Ovis aries: one gene and its partners. The protein of the gene in region 1 purifies or fractionates together with the protein of each later gene. This does not show direct contact. Links are inferred from orthologs where the notes say so. Each region holds a gene or a part of one and is shown in the gene's direction. Other genes may lie near its edges.

Evidence for each region.
Region 2: the proteins of SRC (region 1) and CBLL1 purify together in Homo sapiens (affinity purification with western blotting; 3 studies listed by BioGRID and IntAct, with this or other methods). This does not show direct contact. The link is inferred for Ovis aries from reciprocal best matches to the Homo sapiens genes SRC and CBLL1.
Region 3: the proteins of SRC (region 1) and PTPRA purify together in Homo sapiens (co-immunoprecipitation; 4 studies listed by BioGRID and IntAct, with this or other methods). This does not show direct contact. The link is inferred for Ovis aries from reciprocal best matches to the Homo sapiens genes SRC and PTPRA.

The regions. Positions count from the first base shown.
Region 1 is NC_056066.1:66,305,652-66,312,931, forward strand, and holds part of SRC (proto-oncogene tyrosine-protein kinase Src), read left to right. Parts: exon of another isoform or gene 1-106; intron 107-1,507; coding exon 1,508-1,779; intron 1,780-3,466; coding exon 3,467-3,566; intron 3,567-7,280. UniProt on the Homo sapiens protein: Non-receptor protein tyrosine kinase which is activated following engagement of many different classes of cellular receptors including immune response receptors, integrins and other adhesion receptors, receptor protein tyrosine kinases, G protein-coupled receptors as well as cytokine receptors.
Region 2 is NC_056057.1:50,272,283-50,279,592, forward strand, and holds the start of CBLL1 (E3 ubiquitin-protein ligase Hakai), read left to right. Parts: upstream 1-2,383; 5' UTR 2,384-2,405; coding exon of another isoform or gene 2,406-2,418; 5' UTR 2,419-2,854; coding exon 2,855-3,047; intron 3,048-7,183; coding exon 7,184-7,310. UniProt on the Homo sapiens protein: E3 ubiquitin-protein ligase that mediates ubiquitination of several tyrosine-phosphorylated Src substrates, including CDH1, CTTN and DOK1. Targets CDH1 for endocytosis and degradation.
Region 3 is NC_056066.1:52,019,278-52,026,657, reverse strand, and holds the start of PTPRA (receptor-type tyrosine-protein phosphatase alpha), read left to right. Parts: upstream 1-2,482; 5' UTR 2,483-2,529; intron 2,530-7,380. UniProt on the Homo sapiens protein: Tyrosine protein phosphatase which is involved in integrin-mediated focal adhesion formation.

The DNA.
Region 1 (7,280 bases):
GTGGAGCAGGGCCTCTAGTCCACGACCCCTGACTCCATACCTGGTGTTCGTGCTGTGACCTCAGGCTGCTTCCCAGGTCCTCTGAGATAGCCCCTGCCTTCACCAGGTGAGGTGATGACCCATTGGGGCTGCCAAGATGAGGGAGCTGCGAGGGGTGGCCATATTGGGTGGGGAGACCCTGGCCAGGCTTGGTGGGAGTCAGCACCTGTGGATGGGGACATAGGGAGCAAAAGGGGGTGGTGGAGTGATGGTCATCACTGGGGAGTTTGCAGCTTGAGTTTCTTTGTGTTTCCTGATCTCTAGCCCACCCAAATTCCTGGCTTAGACATCTCCTAACTCTTCAGTAGTCACACATTCACGCATTCATTCAGCTGTTTATTGAGCACCTACTATGTGCCACTTCTAGGTACTAGGAGTGCAGCAATGTGTCTAGATGGACAAAAGCCCATAGAAATAATCATATGATCACACACACACACACACAGACACACACACACAGGGTCACGTGACCCCACGGACTGTAGCCCGTCAGGCTCCTCTGTCCATGGAATTCTCTAGGCAAGAATACTAGAGTGGGTAGCCATTCCCTTCTCCAGGGGAATCTTCCCAACCCAAGGACATAACGTGGGTCTCCTGCATTTTAGGCAGATTCTTTACTGTCTGAGCCACCAGGGAAGCCTCATGTTATCAAGAAGAGGCACAAAAGGAAGGGAACTTAAACCAATGAAAGTAGTTTGGGAGCACATCCAAAGGAGGTGAATTTTTTTTCCTTAAGAGCATAATTGAAGTATAGTTGACATACAGTAAACTGCACATGTTTAAGGTCTGCAGTTTGATAGATTTTGACACATGGGTGCACTCATGAAACCATCCACATAGTCAAGATAATCCATCACCCCTAAACGTTTCCCTCCCACTCCCCACATGCTGCCTTTGGGGTGAGAACTGAACAACACATGAGTTACTCTGCTGAAATAGTCAAGGAAAAGCATTCAGGCAGAAGGAATAGCATGTGCAAAGGCCCTGGGGCTGGAATGAGCTATCAGCCATCTCTCCTTCTTCCAGCTGCCTACTATATCCCTGCCCTGGTTGCAACTTTTAGCACCTCTTTCCTTGGTGTAGGACAATTTCAGCCAACCATGTATTCACTCAACAAACCTTCAGCCCTCTTCTGGGTGCCTGGAACACACACATGCCTCAGATACTGTCCCTGTCCAGGAGGGATGGACACAGTGTCTCAGGGGAAGGGAGGGTGCAATTAGGGCTGCTGATTATGAGGCATTTCTTCTGTGCTTGACCCTACACCAAGGAAGCCCTTTATGCATGCCATCACTATTCCCATTTTATAGATGGAGTAACTAAGGTTCTGAAAGGTAACTTACCCAAAGATATCTCTTTGGGCCTCAGTTTTCCCATCTGTAGAATGGGTGGAAGTGCGGGCTAAGGGGCCCAGGTAGCCCTGTCTGCTCCCAGAGTCCTTCACCTCAAGGTCCTCTCTACTCTACAGGACCATGGGCAGCAACAAGAGCAAGCCCAAGGATGCCAGCCAGCGGCGCCGCAGCCTGGAGCCTGCCGAGAATACCCACGGAGGCGGCGGTGGTGGAGGCGGCGGTGGGGGTGCCTTCCCCTCCTCACAGACCCCCAGCAAGCCAGCCTCCTCTGATGGCCACCGTGGCCCCAACACGGCCTTCGCCCCTGCAGCCGCTGAGCCCAAGCTGTTCGGAGGCTTCAACTCCTCTGACACAGTCACCTCCCCGCAGAGGGCGGGGCCCCTGGCTGGTCAGTGTGCCTGGGAGTGAGTGCCGGGTGGCCCTGGCCCCCTGGGCTGTGTGCCCTGGGGGGCAGCGATGCCCGCGTTCTGGGCTGCTGTTTCTTTCTCTTAATGACGGGGAGGAGTCTAGGGGTTATTTGGTCTTAGGGGCTATTGGGAGTTTTTTGGAGGTTTTATAAACTGGAAAGAGTGGTGCACACGCCATTGCCTTTAGGGCTGAATTCTGATGTGCAGTATAAAGGGCCCTAGAGATAAAGGGCTGCAGGTGGAAACTGAGGCCCAGAGAGCCGGGGGCTTCTTGGGGAGGCCCGAGGACCAGGTCTGAGGCTTTGCTTTTCGCTCTGGTTAGCCTGGAGATGGATCAGGACTGGAGGCGGTGAGTGGCCAAGGGGGCGGGGCAGGTTTTAGAAGGAGAGAGAGCGCTCGGGTCTTCAGAGGCTGGACCTACGAGATGCGCCCCTGCGCCCTCTGCTGGTATTGAGGGGGTATAGCCGCTTCGGGCGAGTGATGCTTAGTAAGAGAAGTAGATGCGGTTCTGGAGAGGTAAGGCCCTCACACAAACACGGGCATTTCTACCGGGACACCTTCAGACAGACACACACACACAGTCGGCAACTCATTCAGAGACACCCAAATAGGACACGTGCACATGTTAGGCTGAAGATGCCAGCGTAAACACAGACACACCATGGACACAGAGACACACTCAGGGACACAGGAATGGGCACCCTCCAGGCACAGACACACACCCACCGCAGATGCACACAAATGCAAAAGCACATACGCAGAAGCGCCTCCTACTCCCAGATGGAGACACAGACGCGTGCAGTCGGAGCCCTTCAGAAGCGCACACATGCTCAGCTAGCACCCATGGACACGCAGATGCACACACGTGCAGTGAGAACACACAGACACGCACCCAAGCGAGACAGACGGACCCGCAAACACAGCCATTCATTTGTTCAGGAGACAGTTGTGGCGCCCCTCCTGTGTGCCAGGTCTCTTCTGGTGTCAGGAACACAAGCAGTGTGTAAAACAGACAAAACCCTCCTGGGGAAGAGAGGCGAAGAGCGAGTTGCGTAAACTGTGCCCTGCGTTTGTGGGTGGTAACTGCTCTGAAAGAACACGGAGGACAGGGAGGGGCGCTGGGGGATGTGTGGGTGGAGGTTGCATCTTAAAATGGGCACAGAGAGGGCTTCAGGAGGGACAGTCACCCGCAGCCAGGATCGTCCCTGATGGCCCGAAGCACCCAGAGTCACACAGAGAGTCACAGAGCCGCCTCCCCAGGGGCAGTTTTCCTTCATTCACTGCTTCACTCACCCCATGGTTGTTTCTTGAACACCTGCGATGCGCCAGACTCTAGGAACAAAATAAAGATGCCTGTTACTGGGGGCTTCGGGTTCTTGGGGGGAAGACAGATACCAAACAGAAGCCAACACCCAGCATCACCTGGAGCCCGCTGGGCTCATCATGTGAACCCGCTCAGACACACGTGAGAGACCCACGTGCCTCCTCCGTGCCCTCACAGGTGTGCCAGACACATAGACACAGGGGACATGCACAGAAGCCCACCGTCTCTGTAAATGAAAGCAGGCCCCCGGGCTGGCAGTGGGGGACCCTCCCCCACCCCCAGAGTGCAGGGCTCTCCTCTGCCAGCCAGGGCCGGGCCTTCTGACACGCCCGTCTTCTGAGCAGGCGGAGTGACCACCTTCGTGGCCCTCTATGACTATGAGTCGCGGACAGAGACTGACCTGTCTTTCAAGAAAGGGGAGCGGCTTCAGATTGTCAACAACACGTGAGTGCCCCCTGGGGACCCCGATCTGGTCTTGGGCTGGAGCCACTTCTGACCATCCCAGAGCCAGCTTGATGGGCAGTGGGCGGGGCTGGACGTCAAGGCAGCCGAGGCCCAGGGAACCCATCCTGGGCATCCTGGGGTCTGTGGGGGTGATCAGGCGGGCACCCCGATGAGGTGGGTGTGGCTTTGGGAGGGCTCCAGGGACAGGGATCTGGGTTCGGTAACTGATCCACAGAGCACGGTGCTCCAGATCCCAGCACCCGCAGAGGGGCGTGTGGTCAGAGTAGGACTGGGCCCAGGACCCGGGGCTACAAACAGCAGGGCCTTTGTACTTGAAGGCTGTGCCCCAAGAGGTGCTGGAGCACCTGGGGCAGCCCAGAAAGTGAGTCTTCAGCTGTAGAGGGAGGGCCCTACATTGGCAGGGTTGGGGGACCCATATTAGGGACCCAACATGAGAGGGGTCAGGATAGGGCATGGGGAGGATGGGGCATAGGATGTGGAAGGCAGGGCACCCTAGGGTGGCATCCATGTCCCCCTCCAGGGACTCCAGCCTTGTCATGGGGCATCCTAGGGCCAAGCTGATGAACGGGGGAGCAGGGGACCCTGCCAGACTCTGGGGCCCCTGTGAGTGATGAACTGATGAGAGGGGTGGGGCTTCAGTCAGGGGGTGGGGGCCTTCCTCTCCTCCCTCCTCCTCTCCTTTCCCCGCCTGCCCAGAGTGCAGTGGGAAGTGGGGTGCAGCATCTGTCGTGGGGGGTGGGGAGTGCAGGCTTTGGGTGCCATGCCCTGGGGTGATCACAGTGGGGGCGGAGCTGCCGACAGAGGGCGGGGCACAGCTCCACACCAGCTGCCTTCCTGCCCTTGGACGGCCTGCTCTCCCGTCTCTGCCACCTCCCATCCCTCCCCCGCAGCCTCGGGGATGCCCTGCCCCACTCCTGGCCCGTGCTTGCTCCCTCCAGCTCTCTCTCAGCTTCTCCCTCTCTGCTTCTCTCTCGCTGGCCCTAGGAGGAAGGTGGATGTCAGGTGTGTACGTGCTCCCAGGGCGGCGGGCTGGGTGGGGGTGCTTCACTGGTGGGGGTGGGGCTGCATGCGCTTCCGCCTGCACCCCCTTGGCTGCACCCCCTCCGGCTTCCCCAGCTTCTGTCCTCACACCCTAGAGTTGGACCAGATCCTGACCTGCACCCCCAGGCTGAGAATGGGGAGGGTCCTCTCATCACCCCTGTCACTCCCCATCACACCTCCTCCCCATCCACCTCCTGCTCGCTCAGCTCCCCCCAAGTGCCAGCTGCATGCAGGGCCAGCGCTGGGCCTAGGGAGGCCTGGGTGGAGAAGGCCACGTCCTCCTGGGGCCAGAGTATAGTGGAACTGGCCCTAGTCCGGGCCCCGTGGCCTGTGCAGGGCATGGCTGGGATCAGCTTGGGCTTTAGGGGGCTGTGCTGTGTGCCCACCTCTGGTCGTGACCAGGGGCTGGGAGGCTCAAGCAGGACCTTGAAGGAAGCACAGTGAAGCCGAGCTGCTGGAGGGAGGTGATGGATGGCAGCCCCCCTCAGAAGGGCAGCTCCTGGGAGGGTGCAGTGCTGGAGGGGGTTACATGCCTTCAGGGCTATGGAAGGGTGAGAAGGTTCTAGAGGGTAGAGTGGGGTTGATCCCAGAGCATCCTGGAAGGCCTGGCTAAGGAGGTTGGACATCCCCACCGTCTCTAGGCATTTCTTGCTTGTTGGTGCCTGCCTGCTGTTATGCATGTTGTTCCCTCTGTGTGAAAGGCCCCTTCTCCCATCGGTCTGGCAAACTCCTACTCATCCCTCAAGATCCAGCTCAGAAGTGCCTTCCTTGTGAGGCAAAGGGGAAAAGAGGGGTAGGCATTTTTACCCACGTCCTTTACTCTGCTGCCATTCCACCAGGGCTGTAGTGATGGGGGAGGGACCATCGCCATATTGATTCCTCATATGGAATGAGGAAACTGAGGCACTGAATGAGGAAACTGAGGCTCAGAGATGTAAAGGCCCTTGCCCAAGGTCACACAGCTACCAAGTAGCAAAGCCAGGATTGGAACTTGGGCAGCAGCACTCTTCTTTAAGCTGCTCTCCCAAGGGGAGGGGGCTTTCCCAGCTCCCCCAAACCCCTGCTGTCTGAGTCCCAATGCCACTCTAGTTCTCTTCTGGTTCCAGCTGTTTCCATCTGCCTACCCCTAAACTGGAAACTCGTTGAGGGCTGCTCTTGTGCCTGCCCCATTTTGGGGCCCCCATCACCCCATGTTCCTCACCCCACTGGGGGTACCCAGGTGGTACTGGCGCACCATTTCTTGTGCCCTGCTTGTGGGCCTGTGCTCACGCTGACCACTTCAGTTGCCCTGTTTTATTTAAAAGGCACCATAGTCCTGGGAAGTGGAAATGTTTATTGGCTCCATTTTACAGATGAGGAAACTGAGGGCCAGAGGGGTGAAATGACTTTCTCAAGGTCACACAGCTAGTAGTGACAGAGCTGGGTAAGGGGCCGTGGGAGGGTAGGCATGACCCTGAGCCCTTGGAGGGGGTGCTCTGCAGGTGCAGAGGAGCTGGGAGGAGGGAGGGGCCTGAGCTGGGCAGGATGGTACCTCAGGCTGGAGGAGACTTTGAAGTGCTGGGGAGCTCTCAACTGGCAACGATGGGAAGGGCTTCTCAGGGGGCTCACAGCTTGAGCAAAGGTGTGGCCAGAGGAGAGTTCTGGAAACTTTGATCCTGCCTCTTTCACTCGTCCTTTGCCAGCCCCTTTCTTTCCTTCTTCCTGTCTTCCAGGATGGGCTGGGGGTTGCCTGGAGGGCCAGAAGTGATGGAGACCTGTCCATGGGAAGCCCATGAGGGGCAGTGAGGTGCCCCAATTGGAAGGTGGGGGTGGATCGGGAGCCCTTCCTCATATCACAGTATTCAGCTGCTCCTCTGCCTTAGAAGTCAGGTGATGGTGGAGTTGGGGGAAGCTGGCATTAGAGGAAGAGGAGGGGTAACAGGGTCAGGGATGGGGCAGGGGAGTATCCTTGTCCTGCTTCCCTTAGTGGAACATAGGCTACCCAAGCGTGGGGTTTCATACCTCACCCCGGGACCACCCTGCTTGTCCCTCTACCATTATTGCTTAAGCTCCGTTATTGTAAGCCCCCTGCACCCACCGCGCACCCTGCAAGAGTGACGGACTTTCTGAGTCTGGCCTGTGGCTGGGCTGGGAGTCGGGGAGGGAGAGCTTAAGGCCGAGCCTGTTGGGGCCGGGCCAGGGCTGGCTGGCCTGGAGTCCTCACAGTAGCTGCCTGGAGACTCTGCTCCCTGGATCTCCATGCCACGTGGTCCTGGACCTAGAGCTCTGGGTGCTGTGTGGCCTTGGGTCGGAGGAAGCCCATCCGGGGGGTGACCGCCCTAAGCCTCTGTCCCGGTCCTCTAGGAGCCAGAGCTCCTCTGGTCTGACTTTGGGGTGCTTCCCCAACTGCCGTTTGCTCCCACCCAGGTTATTCCAGCAGCTTCTCCAGCAAGTATTGACCTCTGCCCCCTTTCCCTGGGCTCTTCGGTTCCGCTCCCCACCATGGGGCGAGGGACCCCTTCCTGCCCTCCTCGCACGATCTGCCTCGGCCTCACCCTGCTCTCTCCCCAAGGACCAAGCAGGGGTCCAGGCCTCAGGGCTCGGAAACTTGACTGTCTGAGCTGTGCCCAGCTGCCCTGGCTCGCCTGCAAGCTCCAAATCGCTTCTCTGGTC
Region 2 (7,310 bases), on another chromosome or scaffold:
TTTTTATAAACCTTAGGATAGTACCAAGCTATAAATTAAGTATAAATGTTGACTTTCAGTAAAATTGTGACTGCTTACAGCACAAATGTTAACAACAACGGATACCAGAGGGCAGTAATAAAATGTTATATACAGTTTCTCTGATCATTTTAGAGGAAGAAATTAATTTGTCATATTGCCACTGTACTAGTAAAGTGAGGTTATAGTTAAGGGAAAAGTGAATATAGAGCACAGATGCTATAGAAATGCATAAAAGCACGAGGTCAAATCAAATAAATGTTTACCTAACATTTTAGCAATAAGAAATCTAAACATGTAAGTTTCCTTTTAGTAAATTTTCATAACTTGATGCACCATAAAATGTTGACATAACTTCTGACTTACATATTAAATTACATAAAACACAGTTTGAAGACATTTTAAAAAATTCTAATTCTTTAAATAGCATCAGCAGACACTAATATTATTACTCTGAACCTGCATCTGCATCAATCTGAAGTACGGCTGAGTCTACGGCCATACCACCCTGAATGCAACTGACCTCCTCTGAAGGATGGTTGATGGCTAAATATGAAGATCGAAAAAATTTAAAAAACAAAACACTTTCTAGGTGACAACTACTTTTCTTTTACACACAAAATTGGTGGAAAATGCTTGATTTTCATATCAATATTGTATTTAGAGAAACAAGGAGCTATGGAAGAAAGGTTGTTTCCCCCAACTCGCGAAACACAAAAAATGCCCAGCAATTGAAAGCATCTTGAAAACGACTTAGGGATACAGAAACTTACATTTTAACAAAAGCAAGTGTAACTCTGAATCACAATTGTCCTTAGTTGTGAATGCACCTAAAAACTTGTTTATAAAACTGCACAAACGGTGTCTTTTAAAAGATCCCACCAAAACATTCACCAAATAACACAGAACACTTACAGTATTACTCATCATATTATTCCAAGCTCTCACTGGTTAACTATACAGATGGAGCACATCACTACACATACTTGACTCCGAATTCAGCACCATGAAGCCGCTTCTCTAAGAGGTCGACACAATAATCTTTAATTGATCTAGGAACTCTGGCACTGAAAGCGTGCATAACACAAGGTAATGATGTCGTCACCGAGGGACGACAAGAATAGAACCCAAATCCCTTGACTCCCCAGCTTGTGTTTTCCACTAATTGTGCTCCTTTCTACTCATTCGAGAGCATCAAGTGTGAAGGGCTGGAGAAGGGAGTAGACACATGCGCCAGGGTCGCGAGGTGGAGACGGCCCGGAAGGTCCTCAGGAATCACTCTTTGGCACTTGTCTTTTGTTTCGGCTGAGGACGATGAAAGCTGCAGCAACCACCAACCCTTGGGACCAAGAACTGGAACTAGGTACTGCCCGTGGCGGTAACTTGTCTTTTCATTTTAGGCCTTTCCCCTTTTTCACAGCTCCATCGCGGCCAGCCCTAACCTCTTCCCATCCTCAGCTCTACTCCGCACTGGAGTCCCCGCTGACCTTTATAAGAGGCGGCTACGCTGCATCCGTCCTCCACCTGGCCCCGCGTACGCTCCTTAGGACAGGTGTTCTAGGGGGAGGGGGAGGTTTCCCTAGAAAATGAATGCTAATCAAGCGTTAGAAATGGGTTTCAGCTGTTAGCAACTTGAGATGGGAACCGGGGTAGATACCCAAGTCGGCTTCTGCGTGGGTCTGTGCAGCTCATCACGACAAAGCAAAATGTAGATATATATGCACAGAGCTTTTCCCTCTAGCTGGGAGCCTTACACAGCTCAACCGTCCCCTAGGCAACCTCCCGCTGGAGGACGCTTTCCGGAGCGCGCGTGTTTACACTCTTCCTGGACCGGGGGTGCTGGAGAACGTCGCTCGCGGACTCTGGGGGATTCCAAACCGTTACTCCGCCCGCCGGGGTGGGACAGCCCAACGGCTGAGCCTGCGCAGTTGGGCTAGGTCGGCACCAGGGTCCCGGCGCACTACAAGTCCCAGAAGGCAAAGCTCCGCGCGGGGTCGGGGGGAGCGGGGGGGCGGGGCGCGGCGGCTGCCTTACCTGCCGCGAGCTTAGTCCTCCGGCTACTACCAGCTCTCCCCCTCCCCCGTTCCCGGCAGTCTCCGCTCCACATTAAAAGGCTACTTCCTCTGGAAGCACATGAGAGGAACCCTTAGCAGCCTCTACACTGACGCTCCCCGCGTACTCGCTTTTTCTCTCTCTGCCCGAACTGAGCCTGACTCCCTCACCGGAGTCGGCTAGCGGACGCAAGAGAAGGGAATTTTTGGAGGGAACCAACCTGGTTCCACCTGATCACACTTCCGCCTCCCGGGCTCCGGAAGGTACCGCGCACGCGCTCCCTGCGACTCCGGCGCGGTTGACTTCCGCTCCCACTGTGCCCTGCGAGTCGAATCATGGATCACACTGGTAAGGAGGCGGAGGCAGTGGGGGTCCAGGTTCCATGCCCCCTTGGCCGGCCTGGGACTGGTCGCCCAGCGAACATAGAGGGGTTACATTCGCCTTACAGCACTGGGGTGTGGCGGCGAGGAAGGAATCTCACAGACCCTCTTCCCGTCTCCGGCCAGGGCCTGCTACTTCCTGGCCTACCCTCCGATGTGGTACCTACAGCCTCGGTGCCGGCAACGGCAGCTCCTTCTGAGCCCGGAGCCGGCACCGCGGGGGGGCGCGGGCTTCGCGTAGAGGAGAGAGCGCCGGCAGTTTCCCCCTCATTTTGGGTGCTCTGCCCTACGTTATGGGGACTGGCGGGTAGAGAGTCTGGGAAGTGTCATTACGCTGCGAGTCGATGTGCTAGGGTGGGTTAGAGACTTCCTGCTGTTTCAGTCAGCTTTGGGCGGGTGCTGCGATGGTCACTGCCTGTCGTTGTCTCTCCGGTGTTTCTTGGACTAGAGGTGGGAGAAGGGAGTCGGATACGGTTTTTGGAATGATACCGGGAGCAGCTTTTCTGCTTAAGCCTGTAGCATGCCCCGCGCTTCATCTGTGGTCCTTAACCACCAGTCTTGAGCTTAAAATCAAGATATTCTCATCACTTTCTCCAAGTAAGAATGGCTCCATTCTTTCTTAAGTGTTTTTTGTCTTTTGCTCCCTTGCAGTTTTTGGATGTTGAATGAGTGCATTTGGAGTTAGATACTGCTCCGTTCAGTTTATCAGCTGTATTACTAGTAGGGTGATAAAAGGCTTTTTTCCAGTATCACGTATTAGTTAGGATTCCTCAGTCATCAACTGTCTACCTAATTTCATATATATATATATACACACACACACGCACGTTATGTGTGTATGTATACACACACACACATACACATATGTATATACACATATTCTTCTAGGCTTGGAGGTGGAATAATAAACAAGGTGAACTGAGTCCCTGTCCTCAGGGAAGTTACGTTCTATTGGGAAAACCACAATGAACAAGTGTTTAGAAATACAGATTATTATGAGGGCTTTGAAGAAGACATATGGGGCTGTGGAAGGTAGAAGCTTCAGAGACGGTGGTCAGGAAGAGTCTTTTTAGGAAAGTAACATTTGTAAGCTGTGATCTGATGGATGAGAGGAATCCAGCTTGGCATAAATCAAGTGGAAAGTGTTTATAACAGGTACTAAGACTCTGAGGGAGGAAAATGTAGAGAAAACCAATCAGCTGCACTTACATAGAGGGAAAGAGCCCTAAGATAAGATTGGTAAGGAAGACAGGACTCGGGTGGTGCAAGACTTTGAAGTCCATGGAAAAGATTTGAGTGTAATTTTAAGTGCAATATGAAGCCATTGAACAGAAGTAGAGGAGGAACATAATCTGTTTTTAAAGTGTAACAGGTTGTTGTATGAAGAATGGTGTAAGAGAAGGAGGCAAGATAAATAGAAAATTTAGGAAGTGATTGCAATAGACCAGAAGGGAAGCTTGGTTTAGTGATGGTGGCTTGGTTTAGTAAAAACAGGAATGGGCAGATTCAGTAAATATTTTGGTGGTAGAACTCAGGCCCTGGTGGATTGGTTTGGAGGCATGTGAGAGAAAGGAAAGGTGCGTAGGGTTCTAGTTTTTGAGTGGTGTCCTTTATTGGAAGACTTGGGAGAAAAATGCCTTTTTTTTTTTTTTTAATGGAGTAGAGGTCACAAATGGGAATTTGGCAACAAGACTTTGAACTGCTAAGGATGAGGTGTTTGTTGGGACATAGAAGGGGAGATGTCAAGTGGAAATCATAGGGAGGTTTGTTTGGAATGATTTTAAGGCATGAGGATGGATGAGATCACTTAGGGAAAGGGAAAACAGTAGAGAAGAGGGCCTAGCAGCAGGCTCTAGGGAACTCTAGTGTTTGGAGCTTTTATAGAATTGAAACCGTGAAATCTTGGTGTTAGAGAAGCAAACGTGCCACATTAGCGAAATGTTTCTCATTTGAACCTGTTACTGGAATTGGAAGTCAAGCACTTTTCACAGTTTAAAGATGTTATGTTGGGAAATTGTAATGTGGGTTGGTGTGTATCTGAGTATTTATTATCCTACTTTCTAAGTTAAAAGTTTGCCTAAGAAAGTAAAAGTCATCCTAACATGAAAATACTCACTAATGAACTGACCTCTTGAAAAAATAGTTCCTGCTCAGATATCCCTGCTGCTTAACATGAACCTCTTTTCTTCTTTTTTTTTTAAATTTCCTTATAAGGCAGTGTCCTTACCAGTTTCATGTCAGAAAATGGTATTAAATTTTGTATACTGATTGTGATTACAAACCTTACAAAATATTCAAGTTTTCATGATATTCATAAATGTGAATTTGGTAATTGAATCACAAATAAAATCATTGGGAAATGAGGATGTGCCAGATAGCCAGTAAATTGAACACATGTCAGGATAGGCATCTCAAAAGGAAAATTCTAATATTAAAGGATTAAAAGAGGCCCCGGGGAGATTGATGGAACTCTCGAATGTTATGCAAAAATGACTGGTTTTGTGAACGTGCTGAAATTGTCAGTCATAAAATGAAGGCTATCCTGTAGTATTGTAATAGAAAATTACTTCAAGAAACTCCTAATTAACACTTGATTGAGTCTTTGGCCATTCTAAAAGTTAGCACTTAGTTGTAACTGTAACCTAAATTTTGTAAAAATATTTCTTGATTCCTTTAATTCAAGATAAAATTCTGCACAAATCTTTTAAAAACCTATATGATACAGTATTCCGTATTAGGCCTTTTACAGTGGATTTCACTTCATATGAGTGGTTACATCCTTAATTCTCACTCTCTATAATATCCAAGGACTTTTCATTGTTAGGGTTTTAGGGTTTTTAGTTGTGATATTCAACTAAATATATTGTTGAATATATTGCATATATACTGTATATTTTGACTCATAATAAAACCCCCCAGGATAAACCCAGAGTGATGTCACTATTAACAGCTTGCACTTGGAGTCTGAGGCAGACTGCAAGATGTTAGAGGGCAGCAGGCTCTTGAAAGTCATAATTGTGACTTCGGATGTCTAGGGTAGCGTGAAAAGGACTTGTAGTAATGAAGTGTTGTTCACCAAGGAAAAACCGTTCAGAGTCCTTTTACTGTCGGAAAGATGACATTGAACTGTCTCTGATAACTTGCTATTTTTTAAATTCATTGAAAAATCAGGAATACCTTCCAAGCAAAAAAAAAAAAAAAAAACCTCATTCTGCCATACCTTTTTGCTGTTACATTGTTTGCAGGTACTTTAAACAGCTAGAGCCGAAGCAGATGAAATGCATTATTATCTTTTTGCTACTTCATTGCCTGTAGATGTTTAGCAACTAAATGCAACTGGAGTGAAAGCAGATGAAAGCATTATCTGATTGTTGATACATTTGTGAAGTGTTGAGAGTTAAATCAAGATGGATTTATCCTAGTTTAAGACTTTTAACTGTCCATGTATTCCCATTCCCATGATTTTTTTTTTGCAGATTAGCTGTTATGAAAATAATGATAGAAAGCAGACTGAAAGATATTTAAATTAATAATTAAGGACTGATTTTGAATTTTGTTCCGTGTATTATTGAGAAAGAGTGCAAATCTATGTGTTATTCTAGTATCCTTAGAGATCATTACTGCTGGGTAGGATACTACTTCCAAATTTGGCTTTAGAGAATTTAATGTGGATAGTTTGGTTATGTCTCTGTGCTGTCTTCCTGCAGTGGCAGTTACATAGCGTTGCTCACTAATTGTCATGTTTAAAATGTTACTATTTTAAATTATTTGCGTTTCCTACTTTAGGACATTTGCCTTTCTGCTTTTAGCAGATAAAGGTAAATATTTTCTGGATTGTAATATGTCATGGACTTGGAAAAGAGGTGGCTTTTAATCTTAAAATAGAGTCAGTTCTATGAAATAATGCTCATATTACTCATAGGATATGAGTAAATTTATTTCGTAAGCTAATAACAGAGACATAGAAAGTGTCAGTTGTTTAGGCCTAGTTGAAGTATAGAAATCTTGCATCCTCCTCACCTATAATTTACCATTACAGTGCTGACTAAGAATAACGCAGTCACCTGTACATATAGAAATGTTATAGTACATTAGTGTCTGCGTTTACTGCTAAATTGTGTGGTAATTTTTACTATATTCCTGAATGCTTTTTAGAAAAACTATTTTACACCGAAGAGGATAATCACATCCCTAAAGCTAACTTCGTTTTCAGCGTATTATTTATGTAATTCTACCACTGTCAGTGTTAGTTTGTGTTTCCAGTAGTGATTGTCCTGATGTAGATGCAGATTACTAAATTCATTGAGTGCCTACTTTGCATGCTTGATGGAAATGATGGTTTTCTTTCTTTTTGCTGTTCTTTCTTTATCTTTTATTCCTTCTTTAAAAAAAAATCTTACAGTTGCTAGACAGAGCTTCTTACTTTAGGCTCATGAAGGACTTTATGTTTCTATAAACCCCTCTGGAATTCCATGGAAAATTTTATTGTCCATCCTCTTAGGGGGGGGTTCTGTAACTTTTGTCAACTTTTTAAAGGGCTCCATGTCTTAAAAAACATTGCTTTAAGAGTTTATCCAAAATAGAGAAAATTAGTACTTGAACTTACATAGCATAGTATTTACAATCAGATACTCAGCCCTTCATGATGTTGGGTATATTGCTTTAATACCTGTGGCAGAATAACCTTCAAAAAGAAAACCTAAAAGAAATTACAACTTTTTTTCCTAACATAGACAATGAGTTACAAGGCACTAATAGTTCTGGATCGTTGGGTGGTCTTGATGTTCGAAGACGAATTCCTATAAAGCTCATCTCCAAACAAGGGAACAAAGCCAAAGCTTCACCTCGAACTCCAAGGAC
Region 3 (7,380 bases), about 14 Mb from region 1:
TCTGCACACACCCCACACATGCTCTGACCCCACTGCAGCTGTCTCCTGGAGAGAAGGAACTGCATTTCCTAAGAATGGGCCACTTGCCAAGCTGTACATGCCTGTAATTCTTCATGCAGCCTTGGGAGGTTCCAGGAAGAGTAGCAGAGTGGGACTCAGGTCAAGCAGCCAGTGGCAGGGCTTGAACTTCAGGGCTCAACCACAGCATTTTCCCAAGTATGGTCAGCTTGGGTGGGGAATCTTTTAGATGATCCCAAGGATGAATGTTTTTTTATTATAATAGCTATTTATTTCCATATAGATTAGGAAATATAAGTAGCAAGTCAAACTCTTTTATGAGACTGTCCAGGTGTCTCCAGCACTCAATCATTATTTTTCCCGAGTTCAGGCTTTTGCCTTGTGTGTGGATAGAGTGAGTTTTTCTACTTCCTGGGTAACTGAACGGTTGAAAGTAAGTGAAGTCGCTTCAGTCGTGTCCGACTCTTTGTGACCCCATGGACGGTAACCTACCAGGCTCCTCCGTCCATGGGATTTTCCAGGCAAGAATACTGGAGTGGGCTGCCATTTCCTTCTGCAGGTGATCTTCCCAACCCAGGGATCGAACCCGGGTCTCCTGCATTGTAGACAGACACTTTACCCTCTGAGCCACTAGGGAAGCCCAACTGAAAGGTTGGCGTATAGAAAGTCCTGCCCTCTTTGGCTGCCCTTAGGCTCTAACAGGAGACTTGGTGTGTGGGTCTTTCGGCTGTAGGATCTGTCCCTCAGAGGCGTTTAGGATTCAGTCATTTCACACCTCTGGGTCAGTCCCGCTGAGAGGTAGTGGGAGATACACTTCCCTCTCAAGGAGGGACTTTCCAGTGGCAGAGGGGATGCCTCGAAGGAGGCCCGCTGCACCCCGTATTCCCAGGTCATGGCTCTGGTCAGCACACACTAATTCTACAAATACGGGCAGCGGGGTGCATACAGTCCCAAACTGACGCCCCAACTACTGGCGGTGGTACGGACTGGAGGTGCTAGAAGCACCAGCCCTGTGGAAATGGGAGCTCATGTGGGCTCCTTCTCCTGTGCTGAAATATCCCCTCCAAGAAAAAGGATTACTACCAGGAACAGACCCGTTCCCTCGGAAGCGCTGATCGTGGGACTCTGCCCAGCCACGGATGGGAGAGGGAGGCTGGCCGCCGCTCACCCCTGGCAGCTCAGGCTGCGGGTCAGGAATGAAGGATCTCCCAGCAAGCTGTGCTTGCACACTGCTGAGCAATGTCTCCCGCCTACGGACTTATGGTCACTCCTGAGAGGGTCCGGCTGCGTCCGAGGGGCCCTGCCTGAGGACTACAATCTGGGATGTCTCACTCGCCACCCACCACGACTGTGTAATCGGCCTTCAGCGATTCCTTAAGTCCTGCAGCCTGGGAAGCCACTTGCCGGGCATATCCACGGATGGCTTTGAGGTGCTTACGCGCGGCGGGAAGCGCTGGGGAGTAGGTCCGCGCCTCCCACCTGGTCCCAGTCCCCGACCCCAGGGGGAGACGCGTCTCCAGGCCCGCTCGAAGCTTTGAGCCTCTCCTTCCAGGCCAGACCTGTCGCAAACACCCTCCGCAGAGCACCGTGTGTAGTGTTTCTACCCAGCTCGACGCGAGTCAGGCCCGGATACGCGCATCTGGAAAGCCGCGGAGATTTCCCTTGGGCTCGGGTGGGGATGGCGTGGGCTAACTTGTTAAGATGACAGCCACGGTGCTAGGCGTCTTCCAGGGGCTATGCACGTTCACCACCTTCACCACCGAGAGCCTCTGTCTTTTAAATACATTGCAGCAATTAAAAAGCGGAGGGAGGAGGAGTTCTGGGGAGCCCGTTTGGAGAGAGTGGAAAGAGTTTTGAGCTCCAGGTCTCCCCGATCACTAAACATTGGTGTAACTTGTGTTTGGTCTCAGTTTTCGCATCTGTAAACTGGGAAGAAGACCTACGTCTAGGTGTGACTGTAGAGAAACGGAAGGTGTTGGTGCACAGGCGGCCGGTGCTCCCAGGGTCCTGTTTCCCCCAGGATTGGACCGCGGTGGGGGGACCGCCTCCCTGGCGGTCCGTGAGACCGTGAGACACAGAGACCCGGGCCTGCGCCCCAGGCCGGCAGGCTAGCGAGCATTCGGAGGCGCGTAAGGGCGGGGCCCACGAGGGCCAGGGGAACGCCCTTTCGATCTGGGCCAACCAGCGCTCGTCTCTGAACCGCCAATGAGGAAGCTCCTTACAACCCAGGCCGGATCGGGAGCGAGGCTGAGGCGAGTGCGGCGCTGACAGAGACGCGCGCGCGCGACCCAGCTCGGACCCCGGACCGTCGCCGCCATCACCGCCGCCTGTCCAGTTGCTCCTCAGCCGCTTCTCCTCGCCATGGAGGCGAGGCCGCCACCGCCGCCGCGGGGTTCCAAGCCGCGGGCCGGGCGGTGGCCCTGAGGGCGTGTGGCGGGCCGAGACGCCGTCGCGGCACCGAGGCGGAGCCGCAGTCCTCGACCCCAGCGGTCCCGCCCAACGCTGGACTCGGTGAGTGTTCACGGCCGCCGCCACCCCGACGGGTTCCGGAGATGGGGCGGCGGTTCCCGGGCGCGGGTGGGAGGGGTGCCCAAATCCCTCTTTTCCGGGCAGGATCCATCCGGCTTCTCCAGGGATTCCACATCCTTGCGCTGTCCGTGGGGCTGGGGCGGGGGAGGGGGAGAGTCCCCGGAAACGCGCCCGCCCAGGGGCCGACCCCTCTCCACAGCCCTGGAACTTCGCGTGCATCCTCCTGGGGCCGGGTCGCTGCCATAGTTCATTCTGAAAGAAGAAATTTGGACAGTGAGATCAGAATTTGCTCAGGTCCATTTAATGGGAAGAAAGAGGAGAACTCCTGGCATGAGAAAATTTGCTCTTGCAGTGACCAACTTTTCTTTCCCCAGCCCCTCTCTTTTCTGTCCACTCCCTGCAGTTCAGGCTGCTAAAGAAGGAAGACGGGCTCAGAGCTGCCGAGAATTCAAAATGAGCCAACTGGGAATGCATGCCCCCTCCTTTTTACTTTCGTGAATAACACAAAGAATATCGTTTCTTGAGAAATTAGTTCCTAATTGTATTTCCTGAAGATAAAAAATAATAATGGCAGTGCTGAGCCCAGTGTTGAGCTTTCTTTCTTTCTTTTTTTTTTTTTTTGAGGTCAGTGAATGATGTTTGTAAGACAGGAAAAGAAGAATATTCAAAACCTCTCTAGGAGGGTGAATGCCTTTAGAAGCCCTTGCTCAGGGATCCCTGCTCTAGAACCAGTCGCATCTCCAGAAAGATCTCTTGCCACCTGCTTGCTGTTAGGCAGCTCCAGAAGGAGAAGGTGGTAGGCAAGGAGAGGACTGGTGGTGAAAGATGGATGAACATTGTGTCCTCCTGTTTGTGACCCCATGGACTCTAGCCTGCCAGACTCCTTTGTCCGTGGAATTCTCCAGGCAGTAATATTGAAGTGGGAGCCATTCCCTTCTCCAGGGGATCTTCCCAACCCAGGGAGGGAACCCAGGTCTCTTGCTTTGCAGGCAGATTTTTTACTGTCTGAGCCACTAGGGAAGCCCCTTGCTTGGCCATTCCTTTACAAAACACAGATCTGATGCTATCACTTGTTTACTTAAAACTCCCTTGCTTTTCTTTTGCCATAGGATGAATGAAGCCCAAAATGCCTTAACAAGTCATACAAGACCCTTGACAGCCTTGCTTCAATTTACTCTTATTTTTAGATTAATCCTTCAATCCTCCTTCCCTTCATCCCCTTCTCTGGTCATTCAGAATTGCTTGCCTGCCTTTTTTCACATTTGGATACTTTTGCTTGCTCTTTCTTCCTCACCTTTACCTGCTGAGCTCCACCTCTTTCTTTAAAGCTGTTTTCAGTTGAGAGGCTTGATGAGGGTAGGAGCTGTGTCTTGTTCAGCTCCCATGTTGAAAGCTTCTTCCTCCCAATTGTCTTATAGGTCCTGTCCCATCTCTTCCCCTGATGTTTACTTCCAGGTACCCACTTCCTGAGAGAATCTTTCTTGAGTGTTTCCTGCTAGGCATGCAGCCAGGCAGATAGAATGTTGAAGCCAGGGCTTTTAGTACCTTGATTCCCCATCTACCCATGTCTGTCCTATCCAGCCCCATAAATAATTAGCAGGTAGGAACTGACAGGTCTCATATCCCACTGACCTTCAGTGTGCTCCACTGTCTTTGAAAGGCCAAAAGCCCTATGTTCTCTTTTTCACCTCTGCCTATCTGAAGTGCCCTGGCTAACATATACTCTGAGGCAGAGTGCAATCTAGGAGGCTGTTCACTGGGTACTTTTTAGATGCTGATTTACCATCTAAGTGAAATCTAGAACCAGAAAAGCCACTTCTCTGACTGTGCTACATTCATGGCATTCTATTTGCCAGACAAAGTGCTTAGGATACAGAATAAAAGTGAGGAAGTCACATTTTTACCTTTGAGGAGCTCACAGCTTAAAGCAGGACAGGTGGATACAAATACTTGTCACAGATATTGTGAGGGTGTGATAATACCTTTTATTTGCCTTGTGTTAGGCTAGGTAATAAATGCTTTCCATGAATTATCTTACTTACTCCTTTCTACCCTTGAATAGTGGCTAATTCCTACTAGACAAGGGTGGAAACTGAGCCCATACAGTATGCTGATGAGAATAATCAGGATCTGAATCTTGGCAGTCTAGTTCCAGAGTATCTACCTAGCTGTATAGACAGCATTCCTTCTCTGGGTGGCCTGAGAAAACTTGACTGGGAGGAGGCCTTGGGTCATGAAGGATGGATAGGAGTTTATGTATGGTGGACAGGATACCGGAAAGAGGGAACAGCACAGGCAGGCTTGGAGGTGGAAGGAATCCATTGCCCTTGGGGAACAACGAGAGGTTAAATGTATTTGGACTGGGTAGAGACAAGGGTGGGAGATGAGATTAGGTCAGCTTGAAGGGCTGTGAGTGCTGTGTTTAAGTTTGGGTGTGCATGCTCAGCCGTGTCCAAGTCTTTGCAACCTCATGGACTGTAGCCCACGAGGCTTCTCGGTTTATGGAATTTTCCAGGCAAGAATATTGGAGTGGGATATCATTTCGTACTTCAAGGGCTCTTCCTGACCCAGGGATTGAACCCATATCTGCTGCATCTCCTGCATTGGTAGGCAGGTTCTTTACCACTGAGCCACCTGGGAAGCCCCAGAATTTGGGCAGTAGAGACTTTAAAGGAGGATTTTAGAGGCGGTCAGGGACTTGGGCAGACCAGGCTTTGGAAAAGTCACTCGGGGGCAATGTGGGGCCGGGTGCTCATGCCCTTCCAATTTAAGAGGCAATGGCCAGGACGCACAGAGGCAGAATCATGGCCTCTTAAACCCAGAGTGAGGTCCAAAGAGAATACTGCAGAGTTTTGAGAAAAAGATAATACTTAGGAGAAAAATTACAGCCGTTTGAAAGTATGTAGTAGAGAAATATCTTATTTCTACCTGACCTCCCCAGAGATGGTTGAAGTTTAGAGTGCGTGCTAAGTTGCTTCAGTCATGCCTGACTCTGCGACCCTGTGGACTAGCCCGCCAGACTCCTCTGTCCATGGGATTCTCCAGGCAAAAATACTGGAGTGGGTTGCTATGTCCCTCCTCCGGGGGATCTTCCGATCAAACCTGCATTTCCTCCCTTGCAGGTAGATTCTTAACCTCTGAGCCACCAGGGAAGCCCATTGTGCTTATTTATTCTCTCAAGATGTGAATAGAACTCAAATGAATCTTTATCAGGGTGTATATCAGGATAACCTGGGATGCTTCTCCACATGCTTTCCTTCACCTGACCTTCTCCCCCTGTTTGATTTTATTCCGTTTCTTTCAATTTGCAGAGGGAGACATTGAGTCTTAGAAGGATAGAGTACTTGTGCAAGATGGTGGGTGGTGGTGGTTTTTTTAAGCAGCCCTGTTATTTGTATTCGCCCAGCATATTTCATTGGAAGTTCTGAGTTGATTTGTAAACATTGTTGCATTGTTTTTCCCCACCTTCATGTGGAAAAAATGAGGTCCAGTGAAACTTAAGTTTTAAGCAAGAATTTGGCCAAATGTAGAGCCTTGTCTTTTTACTTCTTAACAAATGTCAAATCTGAAGAAATTTTTTTAGTGACTGAGTACAACAAAAGTAGCAATACTGTAACACTAACAATATAATTGAGCAACAAACCCATAAATAACAACATTAAAATTTATTTTAATATATTCTCTATAGAAAAGAAAATCCATTAAATATGAAATTGTATGTACTTTAAATTCACGTCTATTTGTGTCATTGTATAGACATGCTGTGCATGCATGCTAAATCGCTTCAGTCGTGTCCAACTCTGTGCAACCCTATGGACAGCAGCCCACCAGACTCCTCCATCCACAGGATTCTCTAGGCAGGAATACTGGAATGGGTTGCCATTTCCTTTGATTTTTTTTTTTTAATAGTTATTACCTTTTATCTGTACTTGGTAGGTAAAGTACATGCAGAATATGATTTTTGTATTTTTTTGTAATTTATTGATTTTTATTTTTGACTATTCTAGGTCTTCATTGCTGAGTGTGGTCCTTCTCTAGTTGCAGAGAGTGGGGGCTGCTCTCTAGTTACAGTGTGCAAGCTTCTCGTAGTGGTTTTTTTGTTTGTTTGTTTGTTTTTTACTTCTTGTTGCAGAGCATGGCTGTAGGACACGAGAGCTCAGTAGTTGCAATGGATTCTTAACCACTGGACCACAAGGGAAGCCCTGATTTTTGTGTTTTTGAATAACATCAAACATTTTATTTTTACTCATTTCATTTATTATTTTAAATCACAAAATAACAGTCTATGCATTGATAACTGTAGTTTGTACAATCGTTTTTTATTTTCCTTTTTTCTCTCCTTTTTACTATTATAAATGGTACTTTTGAGCACCCCTGAAACACTTCTTTTGGATTATTTTCTTGGATTCTTTCCCTAAAATGGGATCACTGTATCAGGATATGATTTCATTGCCGGATTGGTGTGTAGAAAGGTTGAACTAGTTTACAACACCATTAACAATTTATTTGGCTCTATATCCTGACAATATAACCAGTACTATTAAATATAACCTAAAAATCAATTTTGTTAATTTTTAAAAAATGTAATAGTACTTTGAATTAGGTTAAATGTACGTGTCTTCAGGAAAACTTTAGAAAACTAAATGAGCTACTAAATGAGCTTTAGTAGCTCATTAAGGAAGCTATGACACACCTAGACAGTATATTAAAGAGCAGAGACATCACTTTACTGACAAAGGTCTGTATAGTCAAAGCTGTGGTTTTTCCAGTAGTCATATGGTTGTGAGAGTTGGACCATAAAGAAGGCTGAGCACTGAAGAATTGATGCTTTTG